2 linked regions of the Drosophila melanogaster genome follow. The gene in region 2 interacts genetically with the main gene of each other region. Each region holds a gene or a part of one and is shown on either strand. Other genes may lie near its edges.

What was found. A genetic interaction does not mean that the proteins touch.
Region 1: of Acsl (region 2) and l(1)sc, changing one enhances a phenotype caused by changing the other (phenotypic enhancement), as found in Drosophila melanogaster (one study listed by BioGRID).

Annotation. Positions count from the first base shown.
Region 1 is NC_004354.4:406,825-412,666, reverse strand, and holds l(1)sc (lethal of scute), read right to left. Parts: upstream 2,947-5,842; 5' UTR 2,872-2,946; coding exon 2,098-2,871; 3' UTR 1,850-2,097; downstream 1-1,849. UniProt on the Drosophila melanogaster protein: AS-C proteins are involved in the determination of the neuronal precursors in the peripheral nervous system and the central nervous system.
Region 2 is NT_033778.4:8,672,384-8,682,690, forward strand, and holds Acsl (Acyl-CoA synthetase long-chain), read left to right. Parts: upstream 1-3,186; 5' UTR 3,187-3,325; intron 3,326-3,693; exon of another isoform or gene 3,694-3,951; intron 3,952-4,088; coding exon of another isoform or gene 4,089-4,089; coding exon 4,090-4,224; intron 4,225-4,835; exon of another isoform or gene 4,836-4,951; coding exon of another isoform or gene 4,952-5,212; exon of another isoform or gene 5,213-5,278; intron 5,279-5,582; coding exon 5,583-5,645; intron 5,646-6,046; coding exon 6,047-6,485; intron 6,486-6,544; coding exon 6,545-6,751; intron 6,752-6,762; exon of another isoform or gene 6,763-6,827; coding exon of another isoform or gene 6,828-7,053; intron 7,054-7,110; coding exon of another isoform or gene 7,111-7,445; exon of another isoform or gene 7,446-7,570; intron 7,571-7,628; coding exon 7,629-8,103; intron 8,104-8,165; coding exon 8,166-8,338; intron 8,339-8,401; coding exon 8,402-8,665; intron 8,666-8,726; coding exon 8,727-9,002; intron 9,003-9,067; coding exon 9,068-9,222; 3' UTR 9,223-9,956; downstream 9,957-10,307. Other genes in the region: UQCR-11L (Ubiquinol-cytochrome c reductase 11 kDa subunit-like), read left to right, coding at 4,952-5,212; CG30355 (uncharacterized protein), read right to left, coding at 6,828-7,053, 7,111-7,445.

The DNA.
Region 1 (5,842 bases), on a different chromosome or scaffold from region 2:
GTCTACTTTTGAGAACTTATGTGTACTTTTTTGGTATAGGTGTATAATGTAATGGCTTGCTATCCTAAATTGACTTGCTGCCTTGTCAGTTTAACCAACACAACCAACAAAATTTATAGTTGGAACTACTACCACTTGACGCCTAGTTGAGTGCGAAGTCTTACGGTTGGACTTAATCTGGTAAGAGTAGAACACTTCTAAGTAAATAAAAATACAACTCCTGGCATCGTATTTTGACACAACGGTCATAAATCTTGGAGAGTATTGCCGCGCCATCATAAAGACACATAACTCAGACTCCAATTATACAAAAACATGAAAATGTACAAGTCGAAGCACAAGAACAAGTAGAGCTACAAGTGTTCTACGTGTCCTTCGTGGCCTTCGTGCCTGCGGGTTTAGAATTTCCTTGAATTGCAACCTAACAACAATTGGCTCGTATTTCCAAGTGCGCATCTACAAAAATAAATAAACTACCAAGCCCATAGACTTTTCTGTCCGGCCGAAAATGCTAAGCAAATACACACTTCCTGCAGCAAGGACTAAAATAAGTTACTTCCTGGGTCTGAGAGGCTTAGGAAACAAATTTATTGCAGAAGTTCAGTGATCCCTGTCATATGAGATTGAACCCAGAGGGAAATTCGAGGATCAGTAAGCGAAAAAGATATCTTTTTGTGCAGTGACCTAACATTGCATGAAAATCGGAGTATAGCCTGTTAAAGGACACTTGTAGCTTAGCCTTGTATTTGGACACCTATATCGGATCCTTATCCTGGCAGGTCCTGAATTCACAATCCTGTTTCCGCTTTAAGCTTCTTTTTATATCCGGCAACAATGGACCACAAGAGAGTTTCACTCTACTTCGTCTTGGTCTTGTTTTCTGGATTTATCTTAAGCTGACATCCAATTACATTTGCCATTGTCCTCGTCCACTACCTTCGTTTTTCTCTTCCGTTTTTTTTTTTTTTTTTTTTGAGGAACATCTTTGAGTTTTTGGCGGTATTGCACCGCTTCCTGTTTTATTTAGAGTTCTGTTCTTATCACATCCTCCTTTGGTAAACTCAGTCCAAGTTGAATGCCGTTTCCCTACGCACGTGTCCAGCGCAATTGGCAATTTGCATATTGTATGCTAAATAATGGGTGTGGCATCTCCTGCCTAGATGACATTCCTGCATATTCATTTAATGGCCCTAATATTTCACCCTTGGGGTGGGTTTACTTTCCAATTTTTAGCTACGGGGTTAGCGGAAGTGCATTTCACGGCTCGCCGACGTCGTCCAGCTTGATGAAAAACTTTGTGGCGGTGTGCGCCAGCCACGTGGATTGTGCGAGTCTTCAAGTACTGATCCTTGGACTAGGACAATTTCATCCTCTCAGGCGTGACTGCCTATTTCCGGGCTATTTACGCGCCATTAACAATTCCCGGCCGAATTGTAGCTCGTTAGGGAACCAATCATGAAAATATTCGCTGTTGTTTCCTGTCAGGTGCTTAACTCTATGTTGGTTACGAATTTTGAGTGAGTCATGTCCACGCTCCAAAAGTAATTGAATATAAATAATAAATTGGGTAACTTTTTTGTGAAATTATTATTTCTATCGCTAGTACCATTATTAAGCCTGAGGCCAAAACAGCTAAGCTAAAAAATAATAATAATAATATAAAAATACATAAATTAAAAACGAATATCATAACATATATATAGTCAAAGCAATGCTTCAAAATGCAGATTGTTTAAAAACCTTTTTGGCTCTGATGCTGGTATGAGAACGAGAACTCGTTGTAATTACCCTACATGACGATCTGAATATATTTACGAGTAAGTGATTTCAGTAAAAAACATTTGGAATTAAATTTATCAATATGTTTTTATTTTGGCTTAAAAGTAGTTAGTTTAGTGTCTTCCATGCTTATAACAAACTTATAACTATGAAAAAAATATGTCTTCCATTGCGTTAAAATATAATAAAAAAAAATATGGGGTAACTTAGAGGCTAATGTGAAATTTGAGACTTGGTTTTACACTCACTAAGGCAACAATTTAGGGTATTTACAGTTTGTACAATATTTGTTTGTTTGGGACTTTTAGTAAGACCCCTTCACTGCTCTTGCCAAGATGAAATATAATCGAGTAGCTCCTCGTCATCTGGCTGCTCGTCACTGAAGCTATCAAAGGAGTCGAATTTGAGGTCCTGCTCTTGTAGTTCCTGTTTGATATAGCCACCTCCGGAAATCTCGGATCCGGAGTACGACGGCGTGGGCGAGGCGGAGTGGTACGAGTGGGATTGGGCAGACTGGGTGGCTCCCGTCAAGAACTGTTGCGAACTGTCCAAACTATCGTTGTAATCGTTATAGCTGCTGCCATCGTTGCTACTTTCATCGGCGGAATTGTAGATGTGACGAGTTGATGAAGCAGTGCCATCATCAAGCATGTCCTGTAGTCCTCGAATATATTCAACGGCGATTCGCAGTGTGTCCACCTTGGATAACTTCTTGCTGCTACCACGTCCTCCATTGGACAGCGAGTTTACCACAGTTTGAGGCAAATGCTGGCGGAGATTGACGAATCCATTGTTCACCTGCTTCACGCGATTGCGTTCACGGGCATTTCGTCTGGCTACCGATGGCAATTGCTCGCCATAGGGCATGTTATTGTAGTTGAACTTCTTCTTCTGGGAGGACAACATGGGTCCAACATTGGACTGTTGACTCTGCTGCATATTCTGCAGTTGGCTGGTACCCAAAGGTATTTTCGGAGCAATCAACTGGTGCTGCTGCGTTTGATGGTGATGCTGATGTTGCAGCAAGAAAATGTTACTGTTGGTCAGCTGGTAATGCTGCTGCTGGAATTTGCTGCTGCAAATGCTCGTCATGGTAATCCTTGCGAGAGTTTTCTAAGATTTAGTTTACAGATGTTGACTGTGTGGAATCAGATTCCGCAATGATAATTGCTGTTCTGATCTAGGGCTTTAAATACCCGGCAGTGGCAGAGGGAAACGCGCCGCGACAGAGGCAGCGACTTCGGCAGAGGAGCTACAGGGGTTGGTACGGGGTCGGATCCTGGCTACCTGCCCTCGAAAAACCGGGACCTAAGTCCTTTGCACAAGTGATCGTACATTTTTCCTCTCTTTCTAGGGGTTCTTTTTCTGTGGTGGGTGCCTCTATTCCTACTCAGTCTCTGTGTGCCTACCTACCCATCCTTTTCCCTCTCCCACACACTCTTTGTCCTTTGTGTCCGTCTACATAATGCATTTTTTCCTTTTGGGAAAATTTTAAATCTCAGATCTGCAAGATCCTTGTCATGGCTAAAAAAAAAGATTTTGAATGCACTTCCACTTTTGTCGAATGTCGTTTGCATTGAAAGCGAAAAATAAAGGAGAGTGAGATCTTGGAAGGGAATTTGATATAAAATGTGATCCATCAAATGAAAGAAAATGATGCGAAGGCAAAAGAAACAAACTTAAAAGACCATGTCGTGGGACTTTCACTGTCTTTAAAACTGCGTATCCACTTTTATATCCTGTAATGTTATGAACCTTCATTAATATTTTTTCTGACCCATCTGCATTTGACACGTGCTTCCGATCAGTCCGGTGCATTAGCATAAGCTTCAAAACAATGATACATAACATCGCAGAGCGGCGCAGACAAAATCCCACAAGTGTGTGCTGTATCATGAATACCAAGCGTACTATAATAAGTAAGGGGACGGCCAGACAAATAAAAACGAAACCATCACAAAGGCATTGAATATTGACAGCAGTTGGGATCAAAGTTGCAGTCGAAACACTCTTACCCTTTCATCAAACGCTTGTGATACAAGAAAGCGATCTAAATTTGGGCTGTGCACTCGACAAAAAATGTAATATTTCTGACTGGTTAATATATGTCTTGTATGAACAAACAAAAACTGAATTCAATTAATTTGCATAACTCATTAAATCGTATTAAGGCTACGATGCAATTTAAAATATTTTTTTGGGAAAATATTTTGATAGTGTTGCATTATTGAATAAATATTTTCTTTTAAAGATAATTATTTCGTGGAATACTTCTAAAAATCGAATGGCAGTTTTGATTTTAAAGCATGAAGCATTTGTGTTGCTTTAATATCAAGACATCACTCATAATCAGGTTTAGTTCTAAATTATCAAATTAGTATGTCGAAAAGCATTAAAAAAGGTCTTTAAATGTTATTTGACTAGCAAATTAGTATTTCAAAAAGCTTTAAAAAATGTTATGTCTTTATTTATTTGCTGCTTGCTGTAGGGTTGTGACTTATTATGCCCAGTCCAAGAAAGTAAAGTTATTCCGTTTACCAACAATCCCCCTGCAATTAAATTAAGCATTCATAAATCTGTAAGGAGCTGAATCTGAAACAAATTTCTGGATTCGCAACTTGCAACTTTGTTGCAATGGGAAGGCAATACCGTTACCGAAGACGGATAAGTCGAGTTACGAGATTGCTCCCATAAATGCATAAAATCTTAAAAAAAGCCATAAGCAGCTGCCCTAAAGGAGATCAGAAAATTAGAGGAAATTGATCCCACAAGAATGAACGCTGAAAATCATAATAAAGCAAAAAAAAAAAAAAAAAAAAAACACCATTTACCTAATAATTGGTTTTTAAAAGTTGCTACCGAATTCGTTTTCTAATGCATTTATAATATCTAGAATAAAAATCTTTGCGTCATCACCTTTGTATTTCTCTTGGTTCGAAGCAAACCCTTTTCAAATACTCTTTTAATATGCTCCAAACACACCCACCAAAAAATAGGAAAGTAAAAAAGGTTTTGGTTTCAATTTCATAAGCCTCGGACACCATGCCCTATAATGTTCAGTGATTAATTAATCCGCATGAGATCAGAATAGTGTTGATCCCAGTTTCGTTTTTGGGGGACGCAGTAAATATAAAATAGTGAACAACTGGCCAGGGTTGTCAGGTTCATGGTTTCCCAGGTTTCCAATCAGCTAGTGTACCATAAAGTGGCGGTCTCTATATAGTTTCAATCTTCCAATAAGTTGCTGTACAGCGACCTCTATTGTCCAAAGGTTTCTCAAGGGGATTCTAATTAGAAAAGTAGCCGACAAAATGAAGTTGACAAAAACATACATGATAAAAATAATGTTAATTGTTTTTATATGAGGTCTAGTCTATGCTTTTACATGTTCAGTATATGTCACATACAGCAAATGAATATTGTTAAATTATTTATTTGCTGTATTCTTACTAATGTGAAAATGTCCTTTATGTCTTGAAGGGGAGTGTACAAATCTCGTTGACTGTTGACAAAGAAAATAATTATATATTTCATGTGCTCTCCGCACATTACCACTAATTAGAATTCAAAACAACAGCTACCGAACTAAAAATCCGTGACCTCCGAACCGGAGAAATCGAAATAGGAGTAAGTTATTCGGATTCCTCTCACGTACGCCAGAGGCAAGTGTAAAACGTGATAGACTGGATCGCCGGTGGGTTACTGGCGATATCATAAGCGTGAAATCTGCCAAATTCGAGCACAGATCCGTATCATCTGTCATCACATCAATTTGGCTTTTTATGGGTGTTTTTTTGGTTATATCTCCTGGACGGGATCAAGAAGCGGAAATTGTCACTTTTACTTGTGATATTGCCGGGTCTTATTTTAAAATGAAAGCGCTGACGCAGCTAATTTGGATTGGATCAATGGATGATTTCCAAAGATGCTATTTACTTGATCCACTGTTTCGCACGATCACACCTAATAACGGTAATTTACACGCACGCTACGTGCAATAATTGCCGCCAAATGTGCTGACAGGCACACAGGATACGACTTCTCGCTCCTTCGTTGCCCCAAA
Region 2 (10,307 bases):
GAATAACTGGAATTGGTAACTTGGTAACCACGCGATCTCCGAAAATGTTCAAGTGCATTGGGTTATCGGTTAATCTGTTTGTGTGAAAAGTCTATCTTAAAATCTTGTTTTTCGAACGTTTATTTTATCTTAACCGTGAGGCTAATCGATAAATTACCCCTATCGAACCGTAGCATTCTATATTACTGTGTGTTTATTCTGATGTGGCCGATTTTATAGTATAACAACAACAGTATAACAACTTCCTGGCAATACTGTCGTTATAAAAGCATTTTAACAATGCTTAAATTTGGAAGTGTTATTTTAAATTTAGTTTCAATCTCAGTGTTTTTTTGCTTTCGAAAACTCGTCTGATGGCTGGTCGACCTTCTGTACCGGTTAAAGTGCTCGTTGTAAGACATTACGAATACGCCGGGTGTGTTATCTAACCCACAAGGTTTACGAATCGGGTCTGTTCTGATTCAATCAATTCTCAGAGCAGTGCTTATTTAGGCACATCCACCATAATTTTTTCACATGTGCGACATCGCACATCGCCGACCAGAGGGGCGGTCCAAAGTTCGGATTACAGTAATCACAGGCTTAATGTGCACAATTTCCTTATTGTTTTTAAGCGGACCATGATTGGCTTAGTTAGACAGAACACTCGGCATAACCTTTGCATCCAACACGCCATTCTCTGCAATATCATTTCACACATAGGTCTCTTTTTGTGTACTTAGAGCTCCAACTTTGCCCCCGGGATCAGGCTCAGAATGGCTGCAACTGACCCATGGATTTGATATTCTCATTTATTTTTCATTCATTAACCTACAAAGGCAATTTTACAACTTTCGCCCATGTACGCGTCGTTTAAACGTTTTGAACTTCGCACAGTGGTTTGCAAAAGAATAAAATTGTGAGCTCTGTTCGAGTTTCACTTGAAAAAATACAGCTGTTTATGGTGTCTAGATTTTCATTGTGCTTGAACTTTAACTAGATTTAACTAGACATTAACTAGAAAGAAAAATAAGGTTTATTTATTATTTATCAGCTTGAAAGGACTTTTGAAGAATGTCCATAAGGAAAGTGTACTGAAATGAAGCAAATTTACACACTCTAAACCACTTTCCTGACCCACAGTGCTGATTGTTTTGCAAAGCTTTTTCTTTCGCATATACTTTGTTTAAATACCGAAATGTGTTGTTGTTTTCGCAGCCTTCATCTTGTTTTCATTTTATCTTTCTTCGCAAACAAAACACGTATTCACAACGCTTACGGTTTCGACTCTTCTGCTCGGCGTTTTAACCATGTGTCAAGGGTTTCGAGGGAAGATCTGTAATTTGGGGCCAGTTCAATGCACTCCGCCGGAGCAAACTGAAACGGAGTTTCGACTTCGTATACCCTTTTCTTTTGTATCGCTCGCATGTTATGTGATGTGCGAGTTTTGAGCGGTTGCATAAGAGGCGAACTTTGGCGCCTTGGAGTGGAATGCTCTTCGTTGCTTATCAGGGCGGGCAGATTCTAAGGGAACCAATTGGTATCGGCTTTCAGAGCGGATAAACCTTGGTGCGTCGGACTTTGGCCCTTGCCTTCAACACTTTTTTTTATAAACGAATAGCAAAAACAGCGCTTTGTAAGTTGTGTAAATGAATGCCAAAGAATTTGTTTAGTTTCTATTGATGTCCCCGACCTATGCCAATGTTTCTCCGCCTAGCTAATGGGCGAAATGAAAGAGAGAGTGATTTTGAGGGGGTTGAGAATCCGATTACGCAATCGCTCTCTTGGCAGCCTAATTTTACATTTTCCCTATAGGTATACACCCCATTCTCTGTTGATAATATCTTTAATCGCTTTTTATGTTCTTATTATCAGCGTTTCGATATTCTGGCAAGTATCCAGAAATACCGAAAGCGTAACAACAACTTGTTTGGACTTCAGGTTCTGATTTGATTATAATATTTACGAAGGCCGCACAGTTGGCTAATTGGAAAAAAATATATTTACGCGCGGTTTGATTATGATAATCTATTTTAAGAATGCAATTGGGAAATTACTATCTGTACTAAGATAATATAGCCTAAGCTAGATAGCAGCCTATAGAATTATGTTATTTTCTGTGTGCTCAAAGGTGCTTTGTTATTATGTCATCACACGCTCTGGTATCGGTTAAATGCAGCAATGCTGATTTCCATGACTTCCTCGTCTGCTGTCGCTCCCCATTTGTCGTCCTACCTCATTAGCACTACATAAATGCATATATTTGTTCTTTTATCGGTTGCAGGTGAAACTACAAACTGAACATCTGGAGAGGAACAACTGACATCATCCTATTGTATTATTGTTGCGTCCATTGTTCGTTTGTTCTTGCCATTAATCAGAGCTGGGCTCTTTTGGAGGATACGCCTCACACCCACCATTTTCACTACCGATCAAAAAACACTCATTTAATTCATAGATCGGACAAGTAGAGAAAAGGCAGCAAGATGTTCATCGAAGACGATGCGCAGTAAGTAAACACATTTATTATATAAGACCTGTTTAGTTTTGAGCCCGTTTTCTGTGTATTTTTATTTCATAAGTACATCACTCAGTGTAAGCTTGTGGTTGTGGATTTTTTGGAGTTGGGAAATATAATTAATGTATTGCATTCCATTAAGAACGCTGAGTCTCAAATGTAGGGGTATTTTTTTTTAATGAGTTGACACTTAGCACATGGACTTTTCACCTCTTAACTTTAAACATTCTATTTGCGGTTTATTAAATTTCTTTTGACATAGCGCGCAACCTTTTAAGCTCATTGGCCCGGGAAATTGACGTCATGCCATTTTGCGCAAGCCAAGTTCAAGGCATTCGTTCGATTTGCTTATCAGGCCAGCACTCACACACGATGTCTTTATCAAGTGTGCAGTTTTCAACTAGGAATTATAAAAAGTGACACATATGTATGTATGTATGCCACGACCGGCATATAATATTCAATTATATAATTATATATAGATATTTGTTAAGTGCGAATCTCAGCATGACTCGTTTCCTATTAAACTAGCTTCTATCTTAGTATGGTCTTGGTATGCTACTAGTAACTGGTTTTCCATTTAGTCTGCCATCGAGCGATAATCAGTAATCAGCGTCCGAAATTCTTAGTAAAATGCTTTACAGTGTTTTAATTAATTAGGCATTGCGATAATAAGTTTATCTAGTGTTCTGGTGGCAGTCGTTCAGATTTATAATTATAAATCAAAATTTAAAAATATTTGGCATGAGGTTTTTGTCCAATTTTAATTATAAATAACGTGACAAGAACGTTTAAAATGACGGCGGTCCTAATGGAATTGCAAAGAAAGTAAGAGTTCCCGACAAATCTTTTCGTTATTTTCGGTTGTCGATAAGTACACAAATAAACTAAAGATAAGAGTTTTAAGAATAGAGCCGAATTTAGCCGTTGGAAAAATTAGGAAGTATTTCCCCAAAATTGGGTCATCATTTTATAAAGTATTTGGGCCATAAAGATTGCTTCAAAATCAATGATATATTGCAAATACCCTTGATTTTTGACACGTTTTATGAAGTACTTGGCAAGCCAACTAGATTGGTTTTAGATGGCAGATAAGATGCCGGACGTATAAAAGGGTCCAGACGAGTGCCAGACACACACACTTAAGTTTCGGTTTATTACAATGGCAGAATTCTGTGCCGCGAAAGAGTGATGATTACTAGCGGTCCGGGCTTCGGCGCGTTAGTTAGTGCTAAGCAATCTGTAGCTGATAAAAAGCCGAACACCTTCAGAGCTCTTCACCGGTTATCGGCCGTTTGAAAAGCGTTTTCTGAGCACCGAGAACCAAAGTGAGCGTGAGAGTGTCTACCCCTTTTCCGCCGTCGGACTTTTAAGACCTGCTAACTAACAGTGGCAGCAGCAGCAGGTGGTGATATCAGTTGGTTTTCGGCTTGCGACGGCGCTACAACGAGTGGGTGGGTGCAATGGGAGAATGGTTGCAGGAGTCAACCGGGCGAATACTTGACGAGGCGGGGAAAGCAATAGTTGAAATACCCCGCTGAAATTTGCATACCAATTGGCCACTAATTTGACATTTCTATTGCCCTTTCAGAATGGACAGCTTCTGGGTGCAGAGCGCTATTGGCGCGATCAAGGCGATCGCCTTTGTCTACGACATCATCACCCTTCCGGTTTACTTGGTGCTGCAGAAGCCCTGGAAACGCCGTCAGGACTCGCGTCGCGTGAAGGTGAGTGCTTTGACAGGACTTGCCACTAATCTGGCTAGTTGAAACGAATGGAAAAAGCCACAGACTTAGCCGGCCAATCGGTGCGACGAGGGGTGTAACTATCTCTAGAATCGTGTAGTTGAAATACTTTCGACTTTGCACTGCACGTTCCAAAGTACAGAGGCCTGCTACAATCGAGTTGTTTTAGTTTTTATTAAAAAAGTGCACCCTCGGTTATCAGTTTCATTAAGTTCTTTTCCGCATTTATTTCCCTTACTTCGAGCCTTGTTCTCGCCAGGTGGTTTCCTTATGTTCATTTCATTGTCTAATCTATGTAGATATGACTACTTTTGATTTATTGACCAGGTCCACCATTTCCACAATCTATTCGCCTTTATCAGGGCTTCGCTTTTTATGCGGTAATTATCATATCCGATTAACTTTCTTTCATTTTGCTTTATAACTCCGCGAATGTCAGGACTTCCAGCCATGGCTGTATTTGACAAGTGCACAGGTTGTCAGGCCATAATGAAATCGCAGTTGGTCCTGATAACAGAACCATGAAGTTAAGAAATCATAGAATATCTCTACCTTCTTTTCAAATGGAAATAATATTCACACATAGTGAGCTGTGCAAGTGAGACACCCTAGCTCTCAGCCCAGAAATAAAAAACATATTTCGAAGTGAGTGTTAGCTTATCACATTTCCTGCAAAATAAATTAGTCTTGTTAACTGAAAGCCTAAGGAATGGCGTTTAATAGCCGGGTTTTGGTGCCTGTCCTCAAGGCCGATGATGACGAAAAGGAGTTAGTTGATCCGCAAGCAGCCCTTAGGGAGAAGTGCCAGGCCAAAGGTCACATTGCGTCCCTGTACAACAAGTATCAAGAGTGCAATGATCGTGTGAATGGCAAGTCCAAAACCACTGAGACATGCATGGAGGAATTGTTCGACTTCGTCGCTGAATTGGATCATTGCGTTGCTCACAGTCTCTTCTCGAAACTCAAATAGTTTCAAATTCTAGCAATGCTAAAAAAATAAAATTGGCACTTAAATAAAGGAAACAAACTAAAACATAAATATTTCCAGCTATAACTCGTTTAGGAAAAGTCCCACCTGAGGTACACTTTTATCTGACTTTTCACTATCTAAATGGAACGCATTTTGGTTGGCCTTTTCAGTCGGCTGATAAGGTTTATGGGTTAGTAAGGGTACGCCAACGCCGGAATCTAAGATCGCTTTCATTTGTGTGCAGTTTGCATAATCTTTAGAAAAAATAAGTAAAACGAGTTGAATGCCTTAATCGGGAATCAGTAACTCTATGCAATACCACAGCTAACTAGCTTCTCATCGCATATCTCAACTCCTCCTTCCTCTACAGGCCAAGCCCATTAACCAGAAAATGTTGGTCGATGAGTCCAAGTACGCGCCGGATGACATTGAGGTTTAACTTTTGCAAATGTGTTTTTTTATTATTTAGTAATACTATCTGTTATGGAACATACACACATTACACGAACACACACACACACACACACACACATACATTGGGGCACCCCCATACAACACACAAACACCACACACGCACAATGAATGTTCCAGGTACTGGTTGGTGATCGTACCCAGAGTTGAATCCCCTTTTTGGAGACTCTTTTTGGTGTTGGTCCAAGAAACATGATCTCCCGAGTTACGGCCCTCACCTCAACAAACCCTCGAAAACTCACATGTCCGTTATCTCTCTGTCGATTCTACTTTGTGGTCCCTCCCCTAATCTAGCGTTTCTTTTTAAATCGCAACCTCTAACACGACGTTAAACTAATCGCCACGAATTCGCTCATTTTCCAGGCAAAGATCGTGCGGAATGATGACAATGAGCTGACCTACCGGACCACGGATCCACCACGGGATGTCCACGTGAAGATGCTGCAAGAGAATATCGATACCCTGGAGAAGGTATTCAACTATGTGGCCAAAACTTACACGTCGAAGCGTTGTCTGGGCACCCGGCAGATCCTCAGCGAGGAGGATGAGGTGCAGCAGAACGGTCGAGTCTTCAAGAAGTACAACCTCGGTGACTACAAGTGGAAGACGTTCACCGAGGCGGAGCGCACGGCGGCTAATTTCGGGCGCGGTCTGCGAGAACTTGGCCAGAAACCACGCGAGAACATTGTCATCTTTGCCGAAACGCGAGCCGAATGGATGATAGCTGCCCACGGATGCTTTAAGCAGGCTATGCCCATTGTCACTGTCTATGCTACGCTGGGCGATGATGGAGTTGCTCATTGTGAGTAAATTGGCTTACCATGTGTATGGTTTTTAAATAATATTTTGCTCTGTTGCCAGGCATCACCGAAACGGAAGTCACCACGGTTATCACCTCCCATGATCTGCTGCCCAAGTTTAAGACGCTGCTCGACAAATGCCCATTGGTGAAGACTATTATCTATATTGAGGATCAGCTGCAAAAGACAGAAACCACTGGCTTCAAGGAGGGCGTCAAGATCTTGCCGTTTAACCAAGTTGTCAAGACAGGACAGGACAGTAAATTTGGTACGTTTTGAAAGGGTCTTAAAAGATGATTTATTTATGTCAATTACACGATAAATTTGCTAAAATGCATCGTGTTTCACACCGAAAATGGTGTGGGCTCGACGTGTTCACCATCGGCGTTATCCTCAGGCGCCCGAGCCGTTGCCATCGATGTGGATGCAACCGGCTTCTGCGCATCATTATCATCCACAACATTGCTCATCCTTTCGAGGTTATCAATGTCATCTCTTTCGGTTGATCTGTTTTCACTATCAGAGCCTTGTGCTAATTCTGCTTCCGGCAAGTGGTTGCAATAGCGCCATCTAATCGAGACAGAATGTGTTGATGGGTCATCCAGTGTTTTAATCTACAACTCTCACCTCATGTCAGTACTGGAAAAACCGACGGGTTGCAACAGAATCGGCTTCGTTTGTTCTACATATTCGTTCACAAGACTGGAACCAGGTCCTATGATCAAATCTTCCTCCTTAGCCTCAAGGGTAACTCCTTCGGTTATCTTTTCCTCGTCTCTTTCTTGCTTAGAGGAATATGTGCGATACGCCCGAAAGATGAGAACGCCGCAGTATACGCCAAATAGTGTAAAAAATACGGAGCAGCTTCTCGGCTTTCCTGATGTTGAGCCTAGTAAAGCATTGCATTGTTGCACACAAGTCAAGGGCGTTAGGGTGATGAATTCCTCTAGGACTTCAGCCATTTCGAATGGTGTCTGAACTAAAAAATCACCCTACACAATTTGGAAAGAGTTCTTTCTGTTTACCGAAAGTATGCGCTTTTAATTCAGCACTGAAATGTTGACAGCATATGTATAGCGTGCTATGCGCAAGGAATTTGTTAAATATTAAACTAGTACTAATTGACTTTATTTTGTATCCCACAGAGCACGTTCCACCCAAGGGAGATGACATTGCCATTATCATGTACACTTCCGGATCCACTGGCACACCTAAGGGTGTCCTCCTCTCGCACAAGAACTGCATTGCGACAATGAAGGGATTTGTTGATATGGTGCCTATCTATCCGGATGATGTACTGATCGGATTCCTGCCCCTGGCTCACGTTTTTGAATTGGTTGCGGAAAGTGTGTGTCTCATGACTGGCGTTCCAATTGGCTACTCGACCCCCTTGACTCTGATCGACACTAGCAGCAAGATCAAACGCGGGTGCAAGGGCGATGCCACCGTCCTGAAGCCCACCTGCATGACTTCGGTGCCGCTGATATTGGATCGCATTTCCAAGGGTATTAACGACAAGGTTAACTCTGGCTCGGCGTTCAAGAAATCACTCTTCAAATTCCTTTACCAGTACAAAGTCAAGTGGGTGCAGAGGGGGTACAAGACGCCGCTGATTGATAAGTAAGAACGGTGTGCTCATAAATATCATGAGTTGCTAACTAAAACTATTATTTTTCTTGCAGACTGGTGTTCAAGAAGGTGGCAAAGCTAATGGGTGGCAAAGTGCGCATTATCATGTCTGGCGGAGCGCCTCTGTCAGCAGATACACATGAGCAGATCAAGACCTGCTTGTGCTTGGAGCTGATTCAGGGCTATGGCCTTACGGAAACTACGTCTGGAGCCACTGTCATGGACTGTAAGTGATCGCAGATCGACCTTTCTTTTGAAAACAAGTAAATAACTTTATACCCAATACAAGACCGTGATATGACCTATGGACGCACTGGAGGACCATTAACTGTCTGCGACATCCGTCTAGTCAACTGGGAAGAAGGCAACTACCGCGTCACAAATAAACCTTATCCCCAGGGTGAGGTTCTCATTGGTGGCGAGTGTGTCTCCCAGGGATACTACAAGTTGCCCGGCAAGACCAACGAGGATTTCTTTGAGGAGGATGGACAGAGATGGTTTAAAACCGGCGACATTGGCGAAATACAAGCTGATGGCGTACTTAAGATTATTGGTAAGTTATTTAGCACAGTGCTTTTTCTTTCATTTTTTTTATTATAATACGCTTTTTGCAGATCGTAAGAAGGATCTGGTTAAGCTGCAGGCCGGCGAGTATGTTTCCCTTGGCAAAGTTGAATCTGAGCTTAAGACTTGCGGAATCATCGAGAACATTTGCGTATACGGAGATCCGACAAAGCAGTACACAGTGGCGCTGGTCGTTCCCAACCAAAACCATTTGGAGGAGCTGGCACAGAAACATGGCCTGGGTGATAAGTCCTTTGAGGAGCTGTGCTCATCACCGATCATAGAGAAGGCTATTCTCAAGGAAATTGCTGAGCATGCGCGGAAATGTAAGCTACGATGCAGATTTGAGTATTTTTCAAAGTTTTTAATGGCAAATTGTTTAATCTTAAAGGTAAATTGCAAAAATATGAGGTTCCCGCCGCCATCACACTTTGTAAGGAGGTCTGGTCTCCGGACATGGGGCTGGTAACCGCCGCCTTCAAGCTGAAGCGCAAGGATATCCAGGACAGATATCAGCATGATATTAACCGCATGTACGCCTCATGAAAGTCAATGTACTAAGCCAGAGGTACCAGATGCAGCAACGACAACAACACGCAAACATTAAAGCAGCAGCAATGAAGCTAGTGTGTACTAATTGTTTTTAGTAGCACCCCACACAGCATAAGCATGCATACGAAATCCAAAACCAAACTAGCTTAAGTCCTAAAAGATCTAAATGCCGAGCAGTACATGCAGGAACCGATTAGCCACATTGCGCATGTAAAGACAGACAGAATGTTCTCATTTGCCTTTTTCGTTTCGTTTTATCTTATTTGCTAGAAATCGAAAATTACTCGTTTCTCATTTTAATAAAGTTCGCAAAGACTTGCTTGGCAGATATGTAGCTGAAGCTGAGTTTGGTTTGGAAATGCGCTGTGTATGTGCTAGGAATGCTGTTCAACCGATTGACAATGATAATGGTAATGATAACTGAATGCCGATGATGAGAAGGAATATTGTATACTGTACAGTTTTCGGTTTATAGTACATTGTGTGGCAAATTTATATTGCAGAAAAATACTTATTTTTATATTAAGCTTAAGTGGTTGCCTATTAATTATGTACATACGATATACACATTCATATAAAAGCATATATGTGTAAAATAAATCTAATATTTAGTGTACTTCTCTATGCTAAGTTAAATGTATGGAATTCTTGAAGTAATGAAATGTAGACAGCAGCAATGAAAGCGACTTGATTATGAATTAAAAGCCACAATTGAAAGTAAAGAACCTAAGAATTTCCCTTGCAAATGCTTCTTTTTGGCGCAGAGTAAAATACATCTAAACACAAATGGAACCATCCAAAAATTACTTTTAATTACACAAAGGCATAAAGGTTACAAAGGCAATTGTAATATATATTTTAGCTCAATTTAGTTAAAAAAAGGACATCAAATGAATTTTATGAAATATATTATGTAAAACACGTAAAGAGAAAAGTCAAAATTAATATGCAACAAATGAAAGACTTAGTACCAAAATATAATAAAAACACTGAAATCACTAGAAGGCCAACAAAACGCCTATATCTCAAAACTAAAATGTAATAACATTTGTTTTAGATGTGCAAGAACTTTTTGAATA